2 linked regions of the Rattus norvegicus genome follow. The protein of the gene in region 1 purifies or fractionates together with the protein of each later gene. This does not show direct contact. Links are inferred from orthologs where the notes say so. Each region holds a gene or a part of one and is shown in the gene's direction. Other genes may lie near its edges.

Evidence for each region.
Region 2: the proteins of Rsu1 (region 1) and Ilk purify together in Homo sapiens (affinity purification with mass spectrometry; 9 studies listed by BioGRID and IntAct, counting the BioPlex papers as one, with this or other methods). This does not show direct contact. The link is inferred for Rattus norvegicus from reciprocal best matches to the Homo sapiens genes RSU1 and ILK.

Annotation. Positions count from the first base shown.
Region 1 is NC_086035.1:81,097,116-81,101,090, reverse strand, and holds the end of Rsu1 (ras suppressor protein 1), read left to right. Parts: exon of another isoform or gene 1-2,514; coding exon 2,515-2,617; 3' UTR 2,618-3,224; downstream 3,225-3,975. UniProt on the Homo sapiens protein: Potentially plays a role in the Ras signal transduction pathway. Capable of suppressing v-Ras transformation in vitro.
Region 2 is NC_086019.1:169,499,389-169,503,737, forward strand, and holds the start of Ilk (integrin-linked protein kinase), read left to right. Parts: upstream 1-1,332; 5' UTR 1,333-1,347; exon of another isoform or gene 1,348-1,438; intron 1,439-1,730; 5' UTR 1,731-1,778; coding exon 1,779-1,867; intron 1,868-4,349. Other genes in the region: Rrp8 (ribosomal RNA-processing protein 8), read right to left, coding at 928-1,026. UniProt on the Homo sapiens protein: Scaffold protein which mediates protein-protein interactions during a range of cellular events including focal adhesion assembly, cell adhesion and cell migration.

The DNA of each region.
Region 1 (3,975 bases):
ACCTCATTCAGGCCACGCCAGTCAAGTCCTGGCTCGACTTGAGCTCTCTTTAACCCTCCATGGCCTCTCGTTGTTGACACGCCTTTCCTGATACTGTACTAGTTCTGCAATTCCATGTGATATATATTAGTTAGCCTCTCTCATTGCTATGACAGAATACCTGACAGACACAATTTAAAGAAGGAAGGATTCATTATGTCTCTTGATTTCAGGAAATGTCAGTCCATCGTGATGCGAAAGGCATAGCGTCGAAAGCTTGTGCCATGGTTGGCTCACATTTTGATGATAAGGAAGCAGAGTGGGACCAGATGCTAACCCAGGCCATAATTCTAAAGATCTCCTCTCAATGGCTTACGTCTTCCAGCTGGGCCCCATGCCTCAATGGTTCCGTAGACATCCCTCCTCCCCACCCCCCAAAACCCAGTGCCACTGTCTAAAGATCAAGTGTTCAAACACAGCCTTTGAGGAAATTTTGCATTTAAAACCAGAACACTTATGAATGAACTGTCTTGTTTCCGCTGGTTTGGATAATCAGTCGAATCTGGTGTTGTCTTGCATTCAAGCGAGTATATTCCTTTTTCCTGTGTGGGGATAAGAGGTTGTAAGACAAAGGAAAAGCATAAGAAAGCTGTGTACCCACCCATCCTGAGATCAGGGGTGCCCTGTGAACACGCAGAACAAAGTCAGATGTTGGCTGTGTGCCAGATGAGAGGACCTCAGAGAAAAGGGGCCTCTGGGGAAGCCTGGAGCCCCTGAGCATGAAATGTGTGGCCTCCGGTAAAACAGCCACTGGAGAAGAGATTTCAAAGGCCATTTGGTAGAACAGCGTGTTTCCGAATGTGCAGATTAAAGTGAGGAGAAGGGTAGACAGCTCTGCTTTGGTTCAAGGTCCTTCATGTTTGTCTCTGGGAGAGATGCTGGCAAGGCAATACATAGGCAGCGATATTGACAACATGGGAATTGGGTGACAGAACTAAGATTGGATGTGTTTCGTGCTCCATGAAATCATTAGTTCCTACTGGGTTACAGGACCCCAGGTGTCCAGGCTAGCCTAACCATTATGTCAGCACAAACTTCTGGAGCTTCTAATTGTAAGAGCCCAAGCCTATCCCTCTGTAAGTTCCCTTGTAACCTGTACACAAGCAAATGACTCCATTTTACCTGGAGATTCGTCCCTGCACCTGGCTCTGGGCGCCATCTCCTATCTCCTATGAGCGCCTATGAATTCTCTGTTCTGTAAGGGCAGACCTCTCCCTCGCCACTGTTGGAACAACCAGTTTCTAAACTGACACTTGGGAGGCAACAAAAGAGAGAGCATCATGTTACCTACTGAAACACTCGTGCCTGGCTTGCTGCCTACCCAGAGGACAGCTCCGTTTGCCAGGCCCTCCCCTCAGCCCGTCAGCCATAGTCTTGATGCCAATCAAGCGCATCCTTGTGCTCTACACATAGTGCATAGACATACAGTGTTAGCATTAAAAACCAGGAGGAATGGGTGTCGTTCCGAGGTATGGCACTTGCCTCGAGTCTGGTGGCCCTTGACTCCTTCCTTAGCAGCATACAGTACATAAAATAGTTCGTAAATATACACAGAGACAAACTGTAAATGAATGGATGACTCCTTGAGTGGGTATTAGAACCAGTGGCTCCTTACACAGAGAAGCAGGTCTCTTGGCTGACTCTTGGTTCCATTAGTCAATAGCAGAAGCAATGACTGGAATGAGGCCAGTCCTTTCCTCCAAAGATACTGAGGGCTGAGATGTGCATGGGACTCTGGAAAACACAGTTGTGTCAATAAAGGGAGTTAAGGCTGAGCTCTATTTATTTTAGGGTGGCTTTAATTCTGTTTAATCAGAATCACTCATAAATTATGGATTAATTACTATCCACCGCTCAGTTAAATCCTTTGCACGATGGATACCATCCACTGTAATTGTGGGGCACTTTGTCAACATTTAATCAGTGGTACTTATTAATGTGGCATTGATGTGTGGTGGCCATCCCTGCACCATCAATCACACATGAGCAGCCAGCACGATCTCCAACACCACCGCTCTGTGTCACATTAACTAGCCCCTGGGCTCTCGGGCTGAGCATTGGCGCTCACTTCTAATGAAATGGATAGTGTCTCTCCGTCCGGGGATCTTTTGTCCTTGTAGACTTAAAACACTACGGTTTTTAGAATGCAACTCCGAAAGGGCTTGGTGTACATAACCTGTTCTCAGCAGTCCCGAAGATCCTGTCTTCCCTCACCCTGCCCAGGAAGGGTAAAATACCAAGACCCTTGTCCACAATAGAACACTGCCATACAGGCTGTATACACATAAGTACACGTCTGTGCTTGCATGTGTAAAACTGTCAAGTCTTGGAGTGGATGGGGCAGAATCAATAGAACTCTTTTGGGCTTGTCAAACGTTTCTGAATATTTAGAGTTCGTCCTTAGGAAACTTAGACTAGTAAACAGAGCTCATGACTATCCCCCATCTCTCTCTCTCTCTCTCTCTCTCTTTTTAGCCTCTACGGCAGACACATGCAAGCCAACCCAGAACCCCCAAAGAAGAATAACGACAAATCCAAAAAGATCAGCCGGAAACCCCTTGCAGCCAAGAACAAATGAGGAGCACACACACACACACACACACACTGGTTTCTGGCCTCCTTGAAGCTTTAGCTCTTCTGGCCATCCTTGCTCTGTCCCACAAACAAACAACAGCGTGCTGGTGCCTACTTTTCTCTTCTTTTTCTTTTTCTTTCTTTCTTTCTTTTTTTTTTTTTTGAAAGAAAATTCTTTTCCCTTTCTCCTCCTGGTGCTTGAACGCAGCCTCCCTTTTGCACCTTTCTTGTGGAGGGGTGCACTTTTTATAAAGTCTTACATTCCTGCTCATTTGTTTCTTCTTTTTTTTTTTTTAAATTACCGAAGGCAGAAAACAAAGCTCTCATTCTCCTGCAAATTCCATGGGAGGCACTGGTTTCAGTTCCTTGAATAAACGTCACAAGACTGCTTATTATCAAAAGAATAATTAAAATCATGTAACCACTTAAATGTCACAGTTAACACTTTTCATTCTTTCTGTTTATTCGTATAACTCATTATTGTGCCTTATTAAAAATCTTCCCTCACCGCCAAGCTATTATGTTCATTTAACATCCAAATGATTTCAATAAAATCTTGAATTTATGTCACACTTCTCTTCTTGACTAAAATAAAAAAAAAATAACCTAGTCTTGGGGTGTGCCATGTGTTTTATTATTTCTCTCCCCCCTAATTTTTTTTTTACCTCCTCTAATGTTATTGATTGTAGATGACAATCTGTGGACCTTACCGTGAAACAAATACAAAATTAAATCAGAGTTCGTTTCCTCTCACATCAATTTGTCAGGTTTTTTTTTCCTTCTTCTTTTCCTTTGAAGACTGTTTCTAAATTAGGAAGGAAGAGAAAAACAAATCTCTAGGAGATCCTGCCAGAGGATTTTGGAAAGCAGCATCCTTGCACTAAACAAAACTGTGACTCGTGCCAGCGTCTGCTAGACAAGGGCTGAGAGAGAAGAGGGAGAAAAGCCCCAGTGTGTCGAGAGAGAACTCTGTTCACAGCAAAGCATTCTCCTAAGAGGCCAATGCCAAGGAACTTGTACAAACGCACACAATCTATACCACACCCGAGATGGAGACTACCCTGGCAGAGCCAGTCAACCACCAGTCACTAAGCATCCGCAGTGAGCAGCTCCTCCCCTCACCAGCAGCGGTGTGTGGAGATGAACATAAACCCAAGCACAAGTCTTGTGGGGGTACTTTGAGACCAATCAACAAAAACAGGTAAGGCGAAATACACTCTCAGTGGTCTGTGAGACAAGGACATGTTTCTCTCCTGTGCTGTCTTTACTGCCCATTGCTGTGCCTAAGCTGCGCTCTAAGTGAACCGGCGTCAGGGGGGAAAGCCTTGAACTCATGGCCTCATTTATCTCAGTGGACACAGC
Region 2 (4,349 bases), on another chromosome or scaffold:
CACTGACAGCATTCTAGGGGCAGCAGAGGTTTTTTTTTTTTTTTTTTTTTTTGTTTGTTTGTTTGTTTTGAAACAGGACGGACAGTGTCACACATGTCTGTCTATTAAAGATATTCCTAACTGCAGTAGAAGGAACAGCCTGTTAGGAAGAAGCTGCACACAGACAAGCAGAAATGGACCACAGAAATGAATAGTACATCCTAGGCTGACTGAAGGTCAGGAACAGCTTAAGGGGATATAGAATTCCTCACATCTGATGAGACTCAAAGGAAAAGGCCTGTTTTCCGTGAAGTTGATTTGGGGTTCAAGTCCTACTGCTGGTCCTCAGCCAGACCCTTACCTTGGAGGTTCTAGATTCCCTGAGCCTCCTTTGAATAGTGATTCTGATACTTTCCCTGTCACCTGCCTTGATTCTGTCTAATATACACTGCAACTAAAAACCCTTTCAAGGTTTCGGATTCAGCTATGTAGTAAATGCTTGTCTACCATGCTGAAGCCCTGGAATCGAACCTCAGTATATAAAGTAATGCCAGGTGAGAGAAAACTTGGAGAAACCACTCCACTGCTAAAACTCCACTGATTTCTACCCTTAGTGTACAGAAAACTTACTAACTTTTCAAGCTCTGCGCTCCAAGCTCCTAATCCCGCATTCCTATTAGGACACACTGTGATACGGTGAGTTACTGCCCGGGAGCTTCTCAACATTTTTCTAAATCTCAGGTACGCTCTTCTCCACACCAACTTCTCACCAATTATGTTTTAAGGTCAGTTTTTTGGAGAGTTTCCGGATCTTCAGATCATGACTAACTCTCTCACCATCCTGATAAACGACAGCATTTCAGGCTCTCCCTCTACCCAACACGACCCCGGGAGGATCGACTTTGCCTCCTTAAAACTCTTCAAATAGCCCGGTGCAGGGCCGCTCACCTTGACTGGCGGGGCAGTCGCCGCCTGAACCTGTGTTGTCACGGGCCGGAGGCCAACGATGGCTGGGGCCGCCTCGACCCATTCGGGCTCCTCAAACATACCGGTGGCCGGCAGGGTTGGAGGAGTCTACGCTCTGGCCCACGTGTAGCGCGCGTCCGAGAATCCTAGGACTGGAGCCAGACCAAACTCGGCCGGAAGCCACCGAGAGAAATTCTGTGGTGGCTAGAGCGGCCCGCGCGGAGCAGAGCACCATCGAGTGTAACCGCTCCTGAGCTAGAGAGGCAGTAGGAGGTCGGAAGGGAGGGACCGCGGCCCGCGCTGGCTGGAGAGGGCCGGGCCGGGCCGGGCCGGGGCGGGGCCGGGCGGCGGGCGCGGCCGGACGGGAGTTCCCCGGAGAAGCCGCCTGCGACCCGAGTCCCGGTGAGTGCGGGTAGTTCCGCGCCCTGTTCCATGCTGGTCTTGCAAACCTGTCTCTGCGATCTCTACAGTAGCTCTGAGCCGGGGCCGCCGGGCAAGGACCCCTTTCCCCTCCCCCGGGTGTTTGCAGCTTTGGGCCCCTCCCCTCCCCCCAAGCCGTGTTCTAGGGCCGTGACTCGGAGCCCGCTGACGCCAACTCAGGAAACTAGCAAAGTCTACCCTATACCTCCAGATCCCCCTGCTCCTCGAGCCCAGGGGTCGTCCGCTGCCCGAAGCCCTTCACAGACAACCACTGTCCCTTTCGCGACGCTCCCCATCCCAGCACTGACACCTCTGTCCTGAGGGAACAGAGATAGAGTCATTCTCTTGTCTCTGTTCTCCCGCAGTTCCCCGAGACTTCCCCAGTCCCGGGGTCTCTGTGCCGGGACGCTGCTATGGACGACATTTTCACTCAGTGCCGGGAGGGCAACGCGGTGGCGGTGCGCTTGTGGCTGGACAACACAGAGAACGACCTAAATCAGGGGTGAGCTGAAGCATTGGCGAGTGAGAGGACTGCTAGAAGTCCGCTCTCCGCTACTTGGGGTGCTCATGTCGGGCGGAGACAGCTAACTTTGTTATCCAGTGTGATGAGGAGTATTAGAAAGCAAAGTCTGTTGATGGAGGAGGGTTTACAGAGAGGAAGCTGTGTCTGGGTTTTTTGTTTTTACTAAGTTTCACAATCGGTTCCCGAGGACTTTGCAGCCTCTGTGAACTCATGTCAAAGGCAGACCAGAGTGCCAGAAAATTGGAATTACATGTGGTTGGAGGATGAGTTTCTGCGCCCTAGAGCATTGGATAGAAGTGGAAAAGGACATTAGAGATCTAAAGTTCTGAAGCTGTGTAGTGATGAGACTACCCATTTGTCAGGTGTCACCGTGGATGCAATTGCCTTAAAGTGATGTTTTGGATACAAGAATTGAGACAGGGTTAGTGGTGAGAGCCCTAAAGTCATAAGAATGAAGTAGTTGAGTTGGTATGGGAAGTGAAGGAGGAAGTCAAAGATGACCTGGGGTTTAGGTTTGGGAACTTGGACACTTGGCAGTTGCCGATGCTCCATTTTGGACTGACTACAGTTTGGTGACACTACAATAACTTGGAAATGCTTGACAGGTTGTTGTTCGTGCAGATTTTAAGTTCGAGAGAGGTCTGATTGGGATACCAAGATACCATAAATTAGCGTTTAAATGATACCTGAAGATTCTATAAGGTGAAAAATAGTACCTCAGAAGAGGAGTAAAATAAAGGCAGAGGTCGAGAAGGCTGGCTGACTGACAGGGAACAACCATCTGAAGGAGAAATAAGAAATGGACTAAGATTAGAGAATGGATGTTTTAATGGAAGAAGAGTGGTTAATTATAGGCCACTGAGAAGTTAAAGAACATAAGTGAGCATTTTAAGTCTTCATTTAGTTTCCATTTAGGATGTATTTGGTCTTTGAATGGTATTGCAGAAAGTAACAGGAAACTGCATTACACTGGGTTCCTTCAAATAAGAACTCCTTGAGGGATTGGGAATGTAGCTCAGTGGTAGAGCATTTACATAGCAAGTGCAAGGCCTTGGGTTTGGTCCTCAGCTCCGGGGGCGGGGGGGGGGGGGGGAATCCTTGCATAAGACCTCATCTATTCCCTATAGATGGCAGGCTTCTGTCAGGGAAAAAAGTGAATGGAAAGTGAGGAAACAGATAATGTGAACACTTTCTACAATGCTGGCTGATATAAGAAAGCAAGAAATGCAGTGTTGGAAGAGTTTAGTAGGTAGTTTTGGTTTGCTTTTGGAGACAGCCTGTCATGTAGTTCAGAATGGCCTCCAGCTCTCCTTCCTCCTGCGTCAGTCAGCCTTCTGAGTGCTGGGATTTCCATTTGTTGCAACTGTATTTGACTATAAGAGGATTGTTTTAGGTTGGAAAGGATCATCTGTCATCCTAGGCCAGGTTTCACCAGCTTCCATTAGGGTGAATACTGTTTCTCTGTTATATTCAAAGTTACTTGTTTCATTTTTTTTTACATTAACTTGTGCGCTCTGTAAACACTAAGCTGTCTGTCCTATTTTGTTGGTAAGAAAATAGAAGTTTAGGCTGTTGTCCAGTGGGAGTGGCATCTGGAAGAATCCTTGTTGTCAAAAGGTGAAGGGTATCATTAGGGAAACCAGAAAGCTTTGGTGGCTTGAAGGGAAAGGGCAGTGCTGGAGGTGGTTAACTCCCTGCAGGCATTCTTCAGATAGAAATCCAGGCCCTCAGGTGACAGTGGGCAAAACATTTGCATTTGTTCTCAAGCTTAAGCTTCCTCTGAGGCCACAGACTTCTGGAAGTTGTTTGGTCAGAATACATGAAGTCTGGGAGAGAAGACTGATAGGATAGCAATGGATATACTCACATCCTCAGAAAGCTTTTGCCGAGTTTGTATTAACTGATGAGGGCAGACTAGAGGGACAATTTTTTTTTTTTTTTTTTGGATCTTTTTTTCGGAGCTGGGCAATTATTTAAAGCTACATATCTCCTTCAACTGTTGGGGGATTCTGGGTGACCAAGCCAGGATCAACTCAAGGCCCCTCCTCCAGCCCCCTCACAGGAAGTGACCACAGCACTAAAGCATCTGGAGGCTGCAGGCCTAGACCACAGACCGCCCCCTGTTCCGCCCCTCAGATCTGCATCCCAGGGCTGGAGGGAATTTCCTTTTATGGCTCCAGGCTGTCAGTTTGACCCAGCCCATACAGTTGTTTTGTTTGTACACTTCTCTTTATAAAATATATGTCCTTAGGGGATGAAAATAAAACTCAGATATATTTTTTATTCAAAAGCTTCAATTTATATTTTCCTCTGTGAATTTTGGTTGGTAAGTAGGAACATCCGGGTTTGTGTGGTTATCTGCCTCTTCAGTAATCAAAAGCATGTTTGTTGTTGTACCCCTTCAAAATATTTTAATTCCATTCCATTTTTAGATGTCAGCTTCAATAACAGAGCCAAAAGT